Oryctolagus cuniculus: one gene and its partners. The protein of the gene in region 1 purifies or fractionates together with the protein of each later gene. This does not show direct contact. Links are inferred from orthologs where the notes say so. Each region holds a gene or a part of one and is shown in the gene's direction. Other genes may lie near its edges.

What was found. The genes of interacting proteins can lie anywhere in the genome.
Region 2: the proteins of CPSF3 (region 1) and CSTF2 purify together in Homo sapiens (affinity purification with mass spectrometry; 3 studies listed by BioGRID and IntAct, with this or other methods). This does not show direct contact. The link is inferred for Oryctolagus cuniculus from reciprocal best matches to the Homo sapiens genes CPSF3 and CSTF2.
Region 3: the proteins of CPSF3 (region 1) and UBE3D purify together in Homo sapiens (affinity purification with mass spectrometry; 4 studies listed by BioGRID and IntAct, counting the BioPlex papers as one, with this or other methods). This does not show direct contact. The link is inferred for Oryctolagus cuniculus from reciprocal best matches to the Homo sapiens genes CPSF3 and UBE3D.
Region 4: the proteins of CPSF3 (region 1) and SYMPK fractionate together in Homo sapiens (co-fractionation; 6 studies listed by BioGRID and IntAct, with this or other methods). This does not show direct contact. The link is inferred for Oryctolagus cuniculus from reciprocal best matches to the Homo sapiens genes CPSF3 and SYMPK.

What each region holds. Positions count from the first base shown.
Region 1 is NC_091433.1:192,651,120-192,654,636, reverse strand, and holds part of CPSF3 (cleavage and polyadenylation specificity factor subunit 3), read left to right. Parts: intron 1-244; coding exon 245-395; intron 396-1,677; coding exon 1,678-1,853; intron 1,854-3,517. UniProt on the Homo sapiens protein: Component of the cleavage and polyadenylation specificity factor (CPSF) complex that plays a key role in pre-mRNA 3'-end formation, recognizing the AAUAAA signal sequence and interacting with poly(A) polymerase and other factors to bring about cleavage and poly(A) addition.
Region 2 is NC_091453.1:91,881,657-91,885,173, reverse strand, and holds part of CSTF2 (cleavage stimulation factor subunit 2), read left to right. Parts: intron 1-823; coding exon 824-947; intron 948-3,517. UniProt on the Homo sapiens protein: One of the multiple factors required for polyadenylation and 3'-end cleavage of mammalian pre-mRNAs. This subunit is directly involved in the binding to pre-mRNAs.
Region 3 is NC_091436.1:89,378,507-89,382,023, forward strand, and holds part of UBE3D (E3 ubiquitin-protein ligase E3D), read left to right. Parts: intron 1-992; coding exon 993-1,161; intron 1,162-3,517. UniProt on the Homo sapiens protein: E3 ubiquitin-protein ligase which accepts ubiquitin from specific E2 ubiquitin-conjugating enzymes, and transfers it to substrates, generally promoting their degradation by the proteasome.
Region 4 is NC_091449.1:11,189,593-11,193,109, forward strand, and holds part of SYMPK (symplekin), read left to right. Parts: intron 1-577; coding exon 578-732; intron 733-3,516; coding exon 3,517-3,517. UniProt on the Homo sapiens protein: Scaffold protein that functions as a component of a multimolecular complex involved in histone mRNA 3'-end processing. Specific component of the tight junction (TJ) plaque, but might not be an exclusively junctional component. May have a house-keeping rule.

The sequences.
Region 1 (3,517 bases):
TCTGTACATATTTGGACTATTTCCTGATCCCGTTTTTTGAGAATTTCTTATCACTCGGAACTGAATTCTGCTGTTCTTACTTGCGGTTCTTTCTGATTAATCCTGTAATACTATGTGCTCAAGCAAATGGCATGTTAACTGAGAAGTGAATCACTTTGTTTGCCTCAGCGTCTCGCTGACGTTTCCCTTTGTGACTCTCTGGGCATCACTGGTCTTGGTGTCACGTTTTTCGTGTGTTATGTAGGAATCGACTTACGGGACCCATATCCACGAGAAGCGTGAAGAGCGAGAAGCAAGATTCTGTAACACTGTCCACGACATCGTGAACAGAGGAGGCCGCGGTCTCATTCCCGTCTTCGCTCTCGGGAGGGCTCAGGAGCTCCTCCTGATTCTAGGTGTGCCTCTTCCTTTGGAAGCTTCTCAAACCTGCACCGTTCTAGCGAGATGATGACAGAGCCTTGGCTGCGTCGCGCCGCCTTTCTGAGCTTTGCTTTCTAATAAGAATCCAGCGAACCAGCAACCCTGGGCACTGCCCTTGGGAGCAGAAGCTGGCATACCATTCTGTGCCGTCAGCCCTGGAAGCCTTAAATGGTGTGAATTCTCTGACCAGCAGAAACTCTATCCTGGTCTCTCACATGGGTGGCAGAGGCCCACGTACTTGGGTATCTTCTGCCGCCTTCCCAGGCACATGAGCAGGAAGCTGGATTGGAATCAGAGCAATTTTTAAGATTTATTTATTCGTTTGAAAGGCAAAGTTAGAAAGACAGAAGGAGGGGCAGAGAGAGATCATCTACCAGTTCATTCGCCAAATGGCCGCAACAGCCAGGGCTATGCCAGGCTGAAGCTGGGATCCAGGAGCTCCCTCAAGGTCTCCCACGTGGGTACAGGGGCCCAGGGCTTGGGCCATCCTCAGCTGCTCTCCTAGGCACGTTAGCAGAGAGCTGGATCTGAAGCGGAGCAGCCACGACTCAAACTGGCACCCATGCGGATACCAGCACTGCAGACCGGGGCTTAGCCCACTGCACCACAGCACCAGGGCCCCCCACCCCAGTCTTTTTTTTTTTTTTTTTTTTTAAGATTTATTTATTTATTTGAAAGTCAAAGTTACACAGAGAGAGAAACAGAGGCAGAGAAAGAAAGAGAGAGATCTTCCAACTACTGGTTCACTCCCCAACTGGCCGCAATTGCCAGAGGTGCGCCAATCTGGAGCCAGGAGCCAGGAGCCTCCTCCGGGTCTCCCACATGGGTGCAGGGGCCCAAGCACTTGGGCCATCTTCTGTTGCATTCCCAGGCCATAGTAAAGGGTTGGATTAGAAGTGGAGCAGCCAGGACTCGAACCAGCGCCCATATGGGATACTGGCACTGCAGGCAGCAGCTCTACCCACTGTGCCACAGTGCCGGCCCCCACCCCTGTCATTTTTAAAAGCCTCCACCCCTTGTTCTACAATCACAGGATTTTTGGGGGTGGTATATTAGTATTTAGAAATAACTTTTGGATTTGTGAGTTTAAGTTGGTAAGGATCCAACTAATTTTTTGTAACTCTCTTAAACATAGTTGAATGCTTTAATTCACTTCTTGGTTTTCTGAATTTTAGAAACTTACTCATGTGCATCATATTTTATTTGAGCTATTTATGCAGCATAACACAGTTTGTGCTTCTTGTAAAACCTCTCCAGATGAGTACTGGCAGAATCACCCAGAGCTGCATGACATTCCCATATACTACGCCTCATCCCTGGCCAAGAAGTGCATGGCCGTGTACCAGACGTACGTCAACGCCATGAACGACAAGATCCGCAAACAGATCAACATCAACAACCCCTTTGTCTTCAAACACATCAGTAACCTCAAGGTGAGTGCTCGTGGAAGGACGAAGGACAGGAGCGGGGACATGCAGACCACCCTTGGTGGCGGTGCCTGCCGTTGGCTGTGGCTGACCTCCGCCGGGGAAAGCAGGGCTCTTTTCTAGCAGGTGGCATTTCTCTGCCCGAAATCAGAATCCCAGCGACTGGCGTTCGTTCTTTGTATGAGCGGATGTGGCCCTGGTCTCTCCCTGTGGCCTCAGTCTTTACCATTGCTAAGTACTTGGTTAAAACTTCTAAGTAGCCGGCGCCGCGGCTCACTAGGCTAATCCTCCGCCTTGCAGCGCCAGCACACTGGGTTCTAGTCCCGGTCGGGGCGCCGGATTCTGTCCCGGTTGCCCCTCTTCCAGGCCAGCTCTCTGCTGTGGCCCGGGAGTGCAGTGGAGGATGGCCCAAGTGCTTGAGCCCTGCACCCCATAGGAGACCAGGATAAGTACCTGGCTCCTGCCATCGGATCAGCGCAGTGCGCCGGCTGCAGCGCGCCAGCCGTGGCGGCCATTGGAGGGTGAACCAACGGCAAAAGGAAGACCTTTCTCTCTGTCTCTCTCTCTCACTGTCCACTCTGCCTGTCAAAAAATAAATAAATAAATAAACAAAAAAACTTCTACTAAGAAGAAAACATTTTGTGTTAACATCATTCCTCTACTCTCACTCAAATCTAATCATTTCATGTTTACTTTTCTGAAGCATTCACTAAGTCTGATTTTATTTAAAGAGATTGTTTCGTTCCAGTTAGTGCTTTAATGATAATAGGATAATACCCAAAGTAATTTTAAGTTTTAAGTGAGCTTTGAGTAAATAGGCTTTGCCTTTATTTTTACTTTCATTTTTTTTAAAGATTTATTTATTTGAGAGCCAGAGTTAAAGACGGGGGGGTGGGGTGGGGTGTTTCCATCCTCTGGTTTACTTCCCTGATGGCTGCAACAGCCGGAGCTGGGCCAATCCAGAGCCAGGAGCTTCTTCTAGGTCTCCCACGTGGGTGCAGGGCCCCAAGGACTTGGGCCATCTTCTGCTTTCCTGGGCCATAGCAGAGAGCTGGACCGGAAGAGGAGCAGCCGGGACTAGAACCGGTGTCCATATGGGATGCTGGCACCACAAGGAGAGGCTTAACCCACTACACCACAGCACTGGCCCCAAGGCTCTGTCTTTGAAGTATGTATTTTTTAAGTCAGTTGTTTAAGATTTAGAGCCAAGTTTTCCCTTGAAATAGTTGTAAACTTTTTGGTCAGAATGCTAAGATGGCGGGGCCAGCTAGGCTCCTGTTAGAGTCTGAGCAGCTCCAGTTCTGATCCAGCTCCCTGCTGATGAGCCTGGAAAGCAGTGGAGGATGGCCCAAGTGCTTGGGCCCCTGCCATCCGTAAGGGTGACCCGGACAGACAAAGCTTCCAGCCCCTGGCTTTTGCCTGGCACATTAAGGCCATCTGGGAAGTGAATCGGTGGACAGAAGACATCTCTCTCTCTCTCTTTCTTTCTTTCTCTTTCTCTCTCTCCTTTGAATAACTCTGTCTGTCAAATAAGTAAATAATCTCTTAAAAAAAGAAAAAATACGAATGCCAGGCTGGCTCAGAATGTTGAAACCTGCGGTCGTGGGGAGTCTGGATCAGTTCTCCGGGAGTTCTGTCTTGGGTGGGTGGAGACCCCCTGGACTCTCCTT
Region 2 (3,517 bases), on another chromosome or scaffold:
GGACTGGAAGAGGAGCAACAGGGACTAGAACCCAGTGCCCATATGGGATGCCGGTGCCACAGGTGGAGGATTAGCCAAGTGAGCCACAGCGCCAGCCCCCTCCTCTCTCTGTAATTCTACCTTTCAAGTACATAAGTAAAAAAATCTTTTAAAAATAGCATTAATAACATTTTGGTGTCTGTGTTGTGATGTAATGAGTTAGGCCTCAACCTGTGATGCCGGCATCCCATATTGGCACCAGTTTGATCCCAGCTGCAGAAGATGTTCCAAGTGCTTGGGCCCCTGCCACCCACATGTGAGACCTCGGTGAAACTCAAGTCTTTAAAAAAATATGACATTCCCCCCAGACCAGAATTATATCTGAGGACAGGAATGAGGGAAAATTTATCAAATTTAAAAAAGTTTTTTTTCCTCTTAAAAACAGGTGGCTAGGTTACTTTTTTAAAAAGTCCCAGCCTCTTTTTCCTCTTGTATTCAAGACACTTGTTGTTGTTGTTAATCTTAATGCCAGGCCCCAGTCATGAAGTTGACAACAGATGCTTCATGATGCCTTGCCACACAGATAAGGCTTATCAATTCAACTTGTAGAATATGTTGCATAGTAACTGTGTTCCATATAACCAGGCTCATGATATATATTACAGCTTGTTTCTGTGGAATTCAAAATGTGTGTTAGATCTAATGCCATGTAAGACATATTATACAAAAAGAACGTATGGTATCATACTTGGAGCTGTCAATTTGATGAACTTTAAAATCGCAGACTTAGTGTATTAAGTCTTCATGAAAGCAAGTACATACTGTGTTTTTTTGTCTTGATCAGGGTGGAATGCACGTCAATGGCGCACCTCCTCTGATGCAAGCTTCTATGCCAGGTGGTGTTCCAGCACCAGGGCAGATGGCCGCTGCTGTCACAGGACCTGGCCCTGGTTCCTTAGCTCCTGGAGGTAACTTTCATTTCAAGTCGACACCATTTCTGTACTTTGTTGAAATGTTGTCATAGCAACTGCTGCAGTGTAGCCAAAGTATTATGTGGTAATAGGATCTTGATATAAAGTTAATATAGGAGAGTACTTTAAAAAGTCCATGGAATTTGCATACTGTACAATTTGCACCAAAATCAAGTTATCTTTCAACTTCATTTTCTATAAACTTTTTGAAGTCCCCTCATACAGCTAGAAATTATATATCCCGGAGGAAGGAAATAGTTGATTTCTTATACACAAATCCTTAAATATCTGATTATATGGGACACTCAAGTGGAAACTTGGAGTAAAACTTCCAAATTAACAAGGGGGAAAATGAAATGAATGGAAGCTAAAACAAGCCAGAAAAAATTAAAGGAAAAGACAATGTAAAATAAGTAAAAATAAATGTAGAGTAAGATAGAAGAAATAAAAACTGGTTTAAGTTGTTATCCTGCTAAATGTGAATGAATTGAATTCTCCCACTAAAAGCTGAAAACTGTTAGATTAGGTTAAAAAGCTCATGAAGAAAACAGACACAAAGTACATAGTCACATGTGTTATGTTTAGCAAGTCTAAAATTGCATTTTAAAAAATACAATAAGACTAACCAACAAAAGAAATAAATTTGGAAACTCTATATTCATTGAAAGTATATAGGTGGACAATTAAGAATGTTGCTATTGAAGCCAGCATTGTGGCGTGGCTGGTAAAGCCACCACCTGTGACACTGGCATCCCATATGGGCACGGATTGGAGTCCCAACTGCTCCACTTCCAATCCAGCTCTCTGCTAATATGCTTGGCTTGGGCCCCTGCACCCACAAGGGAGATCCAGAAGAGGCTCCTGGCTCCTGGCTTCTGTCTGACCCGACTCTGGCCATTGCAGCCATTTGGGTAGTGAACCATCGGATAAAAGATCTCTCTCTCTTTCTCTCCCTCTCCCTCCCTCCCTCCCTCCTTCCCTCCTTCCTTCTCCCCGTCTCCCTCTCCCTCTCCCTCTCCCTCTCCCTCTCCCTCTTCCTCTTCCTCTCCCTCTCCCTCTCTACACCTCTGACTTTGAAATAAATACATAAATCTTTAAAAAAAACACAAAGAATATTGCTATTACAGTTAGCTTTTCTTTTCAAAAAGATTTTATTTTATTTATTTGAAAGGCAGAGTGACAGAGAAGAAAAGAGAGAAAGATCTTCCATCTGCTGGTTGATTTCTCCAAATGGCCACGATAGCTATAACTAGGCCAGGCTGAAGCCAGGACCCAGGAATTCCATCCAGGTCTCTCATATGAGTGGCAGGGGCCCAAGTACTTGGACCATCTTCTACTGCCTTTCGAGGCACATTAGCAGGGAACTGGATTAGAAGCATAAAATCCGGGCTTCAAACCAGTGCTCTGATATGGGTTGCCAGTGTTGCAAGCTACTGCTTAACCCAATGCACCTCAATGCCAGCCCCCCATTAACTTTTCACTGTACCTAAACACACTGAGTGAAATAGCAGTTCTTTATATGAAAGACCTGTGTGAACCCGAGTTATTTTCAACATTTATAGTTTTTTATGAATCAAACTTGCTTATTGGCTAATTTATCTAATATTAGATTGGCTGTACACTACTCATGAGAATAATGTAGATTACTCTGTTTTGTAGATAAATCAAGTCTACACAGCTAAGTTAACAAGGAATCGATTTTTAAAGAAATTTCTAAAACTCAGAATTTTCATTTATGCTCATTATCAAATTGAGTTGTAATTCTCTCTCAATGAAAGAAATAGGCTCAGCCTTTTATACATTTTTAAATTAGACATGTCTAGCATACCTTAAAAATATCTCAAGTTGTAATGCCCTGCACATGGCAAATATGCAACCCACGATATATGCAGGTTGTTACACAAGTTTACTTAGACTGGTCTATGCTTTGTTCAGTGAAACACGTGCACTGATCACACACTTCAATGTCACAGCATTTTCATATTGCTGTAAAATGTTTCTATGTGTCTGCAGTCCATTTCTGTACTTACCTTGTCATGAACTGTTAACATACAGTGTATAGATCAGCACCATTGGTGGATCACACTTCAAATAGCATTGTGCTAGTGGACAAAAAACAAGTAAGGACACTGAGACAGTAAACAATAGAATCAATAAATTTCATCCAGTACAGAGGGAGCTTTATATGGTTTTTTTTTTTTTTTTTGACAGATAGAATTAGAAAGAGAGAGAAAGAAAGGTCTTCTTTCCGTTGGTTTCCCCCCAAATGGCCGCCACGGCCAGAGCTACACCAATCCAAAGCCAGGAGCCAGGTGCTTCTCCTGGTCTCCCATGGGGTGCAGGGCCCAAGCACTTGGGCCATCCTCCACTGCCTTCCCGGGCCACAGCAGAGAGCTGGCCTGGAAGAGGGGCAACCGGGACTAGAATCAGCACCCATATGGGATTCTGGTGCCGCAGGCAGAGGATTAACCAATGAGCCACAGCGCTGGCCCCGCTTTATATGTTTTGACTAGAGAATACATCTTTTGCCCTCCCAAATGACAATGGGAAGTTTTTTGTTTTAAAAG
Region 3 (3,517 bases), on another chromosome or scaffold:
TCCTCTAATTCCAGGCTTTATGTGATTGTGTTCAAATGTGTCTCTAGAAAGGATGGCAAAGAAATGTACTCTCATGTAATAAGTAGTTACTTATCTTTGAATAGTAAGAAAAAGATGATTTTTGGCCGGCACCATGGCTCACTTGGTTAATCCTCTGCCTGCGGTGCTGGCACCCCGGATTCTAGTCCCGGTTGCTCCTCTTCCAGTCCAGCTCTCTGCTGTGGCCCGGGAGAGCAGCGGAGGATGGCCCAAGTGCTTGGCCCCCTGCACCCGCATGGGAGACCAAGAGGAAGCACCTGGCTCCTGGCTTCAGATCGGCGCAGTGCCGGCCGTAGCGGCCATTAGGGGAGTGAACCAACGGAAGGAAGACCTCTCTCTCTCTGTCTCTCTCACTGTCTATAACTCTCTCTCTCTCACTGTCTAACTCTGCCTGTGCCTGTCAAAAAAAAAAAAAAAAAGGATGATTTTTGCTTTCTTTATACTTCGCATTTTCAAACAATCTGTAGTGAGTGTATATTACTTTTTTTTTTTTTTTGACAGGCAGAGTGGACAGTGAGAGAGAGAGACAGAGATAAAGGTCTTCCTTTGCCGTTTGTTCACCCTCCAATGGCCGCCGTGGCCGGCACACCGCGTTGATCTAATGGCAGGAGCCAGGTACTTATCCTGGTCTCCCATGGGGTGCAGGGCCCAAGCACTTGGGCCATCCTCCACTGCACTCCCTGGCCACAGCAGAGAGCTGGCCTGGAAGAGGGGCAACCGGGACAGAATCCGGCGCCCAGACTGGGACTAGACCCCGGTGTTCCGGTGCCGCAAGGCGGAGGATTAGCCTAGTGAGCCGTGGCGCCGGCCCGAGTGTATATTACTTTTATAAGTTGGGAGAAAATTAACATAGCAAGCCATGTGGCTAATGGGTCCCTCTCATTTTTCATGCTGATTTAATTATTAAAATGTTAGTTCCATCTGTGAAAAATAGATTTTCCTCTTTCCATTAGGAAGCTCCTGAGGATACTGCCACTTCCAAGTGAGAACTGGGGAGCTCTAGTTGGAGAATGGTGCTGCCATCCTGACCCCTTTGCTAACAAGCCACTACATCCACAAGAGAATGACTGTCTCATTGGCGATTCTTTCTTCTTGGTGAAGTTAAGAAGTGATAGGTGGCAGGTAAGACCTGAACTAGTTCCAGTGGGAAGATTGTATGTTTCTTTCTTTTTTTTTTTTTTTTTAAAGATTGATTGATTTATTTGAAAGGCAATGTTACAGAGAGAGAGAAGAGACAGAGAGATCTTCCATCAGTTGGTTCACTCCTCAAATAGCTACAATGGCTGGCTGGTGCGCTGGGGCAGTGTGCAGCCAGGAGCCAGGAGCTTCCTTCGGGTCTCCCACATGGGTGCAGGAGCCCAAGGGCTTTGGCCATCTTCTTCTGCTTTCCCAGGTACACTAGCAGGGAGCTGCATTGGAAATGGAACAACTGGGACTCAAACCAGCACTCTTATGGGATGCTGGCACTGCAGGTGGCAGCTTTACCTGCTATGGGACGGTGCTGGTCCCTATATTTCTTTTGAGAACCATTTTAAGTTGGTGAAATATCTTTTCAAAATAATTGCTAATTTAGAGATGTCTCAGGTTCTAGTCCTCTAAGCTTTCTTTCTTTCTTTCTTTTTTTTTTTTTAAGTTTTTCTTAAGGTTTGTTTATTTGAAAGGCAGTTAACAGAGATAGAGGGAGAGACAGAGAGATCTTCCGTGCTCTGGTTCACTTCCCAAATGACAGCAATATCTAACCCACACCCATGTAGGATGCCAGTATTCCAAGCAGTGGCTTAATCTGCAGAGCTCCAGGCTGGTTTCCAATTTTTCTTAATTTATTATTTGTTATTTTCAGTGGCCTCTGTTCTCCAGCTTTGCCCTATGCATATAGGAGGAGCATGTAGCATTAAATTAAAATAGTCACAGGTGGCCAGGGACTAAGGAGGAAAGGACTCCATGTGCAGAATTGGGAATGCTACCATCTTACACACCAACATGCCCTACTTTCTTGTTGTTAGGTCACTATTCCATTATCCATATGCATTTTAACCTTAGTAATCTGACAAGTTAAAAGTGTGTTTGACCTAACAATTAGGGTCCCTAGAGTGTCTGGGTTCATTTCCAAGCTCTGGCTTCTGATGCCAGCTTCCTGCTAATGCAAACCCTGGGAGGCAGCAGCGATGGCTCAAGGGTTTGAGTTCCCATGTGGGAGAGCTGTGTTGAGCTGGTGGCTCCTGGCTTCAGCTTCTGCCAAGCCCTGGCTGGCTGACACAGGCATTGAGAGTGAACCATAGGATGGGAACTTTCTCTCTATTTGCCTCTCAAAAAATGATGTGGAGGGGAGGAGCCCTTGTTCCCACAGGTGCCTGGAGATCTCTGCTACACAATTAGGCCTAGGTATTTTTACTGTATCTGTTGGTAGTCTAGACTTGTGATGTTCTGAAAGCAGTGCTGTCATGGAAAAGGAGGCAAATGGAGGAGCCCAGGAGTGGAGATAAAGCTTATGCTGCAGGGTCTAGGATGACACTTGGCAGCGTAGGGTCAGACGGTGCTTGCTTTGTAGGCTGCTTTGGGGAGGAGGCAATTTCCTCTCCCTGCAGAAAACAAGTGGTTTACTTTAAGAGAAAATCAATGGCATTGGTTTGGCTGTTGTGAGGAACCATTCCCCCAGTCAATACAGATGTGATTTAAAAAGTAAAATCAATGTCAAGGAATCTTCATTTTAACATCTGATTATTAGTAGGAACAAAAACGTATTTTAAATTTCGTTTACAGCTCATTTAATTTTTGTAGTAACAGCTGAGCTACTGCAGGACCTGCAAAGCAATTGGACAGATCTTAGTTATAAATTAGTTTATAGATCTATTTTGAATATTAAGGAAATTCATCAAATATCCAGGTTTAATTGTCAGATAACATTGTTTAAATGTCTTATTTCTCACCATAAACAGAAATCCCTTTATCTAAATAAGGCACACTTTAAATTACAGTGTTTTAGCAGCCTCTGTTGTTGAAAGATATGTTAAGAAGTTAATATAATTTTTTTTATATTTAATAATCTTAAATTTATATTTTAATCTAGACTACATACCTACATTGTTATTGTTATTAACTTCTGTTTTTGTGATTAAGGTCTACATTTTAAAAATATTTGAAAGGTGTGAGTGAAAGAAGATTAAATGAGACAAGCCAGGCTTCCCTTTGTAGATGAACTCTACCCTCTATGCTGGCATAATATTCTTCACATATATGCCTTTATCAGTTACATGATGCCATTTACTGTAGTTTCTCTTCATTGTAAATAGTCATCTGTGTGTTAAAGGAAGAGCCTTCACAGTTAGACATTATAGTTTTTAGTATGGAGGGCACTGTGGGAAATTACTCTCAGGACAATCTGCTATTGGCAAGATTGTTATCAAGTTAGCCTGGATGGAAGTTTCACTTTAATTGCATATTGTAGCCATTGAAAGAGTGTGCCTGTGACCAAAATAGT
Region 4 (3,517 bases), on another chromosome or scaffold:
CTGCGGAGCAGCGGCGAATCCCCTAGACATTTGGTCTTCGATGTGAGCCCCTAGGGGAGACACCCAGAAGTGGTGCTGCTGTGGCGACAGGGGCGTGCACACTCGAAGCAGGGTGTGCTGTCCGACGGCGCTCCCAGAGGTGTTTGTACGCAGCACGCCCCTCCTGCGACAGTGCAGGCTTCTGGGGTTTGCCAGCACATCAGCAGGAAGTGCGACCTGAACAGGTTTGGGGGTTGTACTTCCCAAGCTCCTGGTCAAAGACAGAACCTTTTAAACAGTTTAAACAGTTAAGCGTGTGAATTGATTGGCTGACGTTGTCTTCCGGCTTCTTGAGATCGGCTCGAGGGGTATGGCTCATTCCCATTTCCCAGATGCAGAGAGCAGAGGCCCAGAGACAGGCAGTTGGCCAGGGTTGATGGCGCTTTGATGGCAGAGGCAGAGTTGCTGCCTGGATCTTCATCCACGGTGGGGCTGCCGTCTGCTGGGCCTGCCTGGACACGTGGGCTTCCTGGGAACGGGCTGGGTCGGGGCTGCTGTTCTCTCTAGAACCACATCCTGTTCTCTCTCCCGATCCTAGAGCCCAACCTGGGGGAAGACGACGAGGACAAGGACTTAGAGCCAGGCCCATCGGGGACCTCCAAGGCCTCGGCCCAGCTCTCAGGCCAGTCAGACACAGACATCACAGCCGAGTTCCTGCAGCCTCTGCTGACGCCCGACAATGTGGCCAATCTGGTGAGGCTGGGCGGTGTCAGGAACCCCGTGAATTGATGATTGGGATTGGGCATTGGGGGGCCAGGATGGCCGGCGCCTTCCTCAGATTCTCAGGGATATAGTGACCTGCAGGGCGGGCGCCAGCCTGCAGCCATGCCGGGCCCACATGTTCCCACTGGGCACTGGGGAGGAGGCCTCGTCCCAGGCCCAGCAGCAGCCACCCTCCGCCTCCCCTCCACCTGGGGACTCTGAGAGCAGAGTTGCTGTGTCAGTGGGATTTTGGTCACGGGGAAGTGAGAAGGAGTTTTCTCTCCGCTCAGATCTCTGGTGGCTTCAGGCCTGACAACGAGCCGCCGCCTGCTTCCCCCGCCCCGTATGTCCCTGGGCATTGCAGACTCAACATCTGAACGCACACTGGGAAATCTCCCCACACTCCCCTGCAGGCCTGCGGCCCTCCCACGCCCTCCTTGGCAGGCCAGCTTCCCAGATCCCAAGCCAGCAACCGGTGTTAACCTCTTCACTCTCCCCCTTCCGCCCAGCCCCTGCCCTGCTGTGGGCCCACCTGCACTTGCTGCCCGGCTCCGGCCACCTCCAGTCGCTGGCCGTGCGGAGTTTGCAGAGTTAGCTTCAGGCCACACCTCTGCTCTGACGCCAGCCGTGGTTCTCTGTTCACGCGGAATTTAAACTCAGCTCACCAGGGGAGGCCTCTGATTTGGCTTCTGTGATCCTGTTGTACCTTTCTCAGCTTGTCTCACTCTGGAAAATCGTCCTCTTCACATTTGTTGCCAGGATGTTGGTGGTTTTTTTTTTTTTTTTTTTTAAGATTTATTTATTTATTTGAAAGTCAGAGTTACACAGAGAAAAGAAAAAGAGAGGCAGAGAGAGAGAGATCTTCCATCCGATGATTCACTCCCCAGTTGGCCACAACGGCCAGAGCTGCGCCAATGTGAAGCCAGGAGCCAGGAGCTTCCCTGTGGTCTCCCACGTGGGTGCAGGGGCCCAAGGACTTGGGCCATCCTCCACTGCTTTCCCAGGCGATAGCAGAGAGCTGGACTGGAAGTGGAGCAGCCGGGACTAGAACCGGCGCCCATATGGGATGCCGGTGCTGCAGGCCAGGGGGTTAACCCTCTGCACCGCAGCACCGGCCCCGGTGGTTCTTTCACAGTTGGAGAAGCCCGGCTGTCTCTGGTGCAGGCCCCCTCTGCTTTGCGGTACCTCGCCATGTCCAGCCTTGCCTTGGACATACATGCTGGTTTTTTATCATTCCAAGAACTGGCTCTTTGTTTTGCTGATTCTTTTTTTTCCCTTTATTAAAATATTTATTTATTTATTTTGAAAGGCAGTGTTAGAGAGGGAGAGAGATCTTCTATCCACTGGTTCACTCCCCAGATGACTGCAATGGCCGGGGCTGGGCCAGTCCAAAGCCAGGAGCTTCTTCCAGGTCTCCCATGTGGGTGCAGGGGCCCAGGCACTCGGTGCATCAGCAGGGAGCTGGATCGGAAGTGGAGCAGCTGGGACTTGGACCAGCATTGCAGGCGGTGGCTGTACCCGCTGCGTCACAACACTGGCCCCTTGCTGATTCTTTTATAACCTTCTCTGTTGCTTTTATTGTGTTCTGGTAGTTTCTTTGAATGTTTGTCCCAAAGTTTCAAATTCAGTGCTTGGTTCATTAATTTTCAATCATCTTTTCCAATGTAAGTATTTTCAGGGTGTGTGATTTTCCATCTGAATACCATTTTAGCTGCATTCCACATACTTTGATATGCAGTAATCTCATTATCTTTCTGTTGTAATTATTTTATTATTTAATATATGCATTTAAGGTTTGGAATGTATTGAGCATTTAAAATTACCTTTCATTACCAATTCCTAAAATATGTGGGTGTTCTGGTAGGGTGCTGGGTTTTTTGTTTGCTTGCTTTTCTATTTTTAAATTTATTTTATTTGAGAGAGAGGTGCTCCATCTGATAGTTCATTCCCCCAATACGCCCAATAGCTAGAGCTGGGCCAGCTTGAAGCCAGGAGACAGGAGCTCCATGCAGGTCTCCCATGGGTGGCAGGGACCCGAGTACTTGCATTATCTGCTCCCTCCCAGGCAGGTTAGCAAGAAGCTGGATTACAAGTGGAGCAAGCAGGGGTCAAAGCAAGACTGACGCAGGCTGCAGCATCCCAAGCAGCAGTTCAGCTGAGAGAAAGGGAGAGACAGACACACACAGAGGTCTTCCATCCACTGGTTCACTCCCCAGCTGCCTCTAGTGGCCATGGCAGGTCTCCCACATGTGTGCAGGGCCCAAGGACTTGGGCCGTCTTCCGCTGCTTTCCCCGGCGCATTAGCAGGGAGCTGGATTGAAATTGGAGCAGCCGGGACTCGAACCAGCATCACAGGCGGCTTCACTCCACTGTGCCACAGCACCGGCCCCCACCCCAGCTTGTTTTTAAGTCCATTTCCCACCCATCCAGTCTTCACTGAGCCTCTTTGCGTGCTGTGGACATTCTGTTGCCCTTCAACCTTCTCCCATGCTGCTCCTGCACCTGCAGTCGACTTCCCTAAGCCCGGCGGCTCCTTGCCCTCTCCTCAGTTCCCGCCCTACCTGCTGCTTCCCTGGGAGCGGAAGCCTCGGGAGGCCTCTGGGTGCAGCTCCGGCCACCTCCTCTTTTCTCAGCCACACCGAGAACAACTGTGTTGTTCCCGCTGACTGCCCCCAAAGCGGGGCTGCGCCGCAGTAGCCCTGGCTGTGGCCTGGTCGTGGGCTGGAGGCTGTTGAGCTCACAGTTAAGAGAGGCTCTTCTTCCGGGCACCCACAGG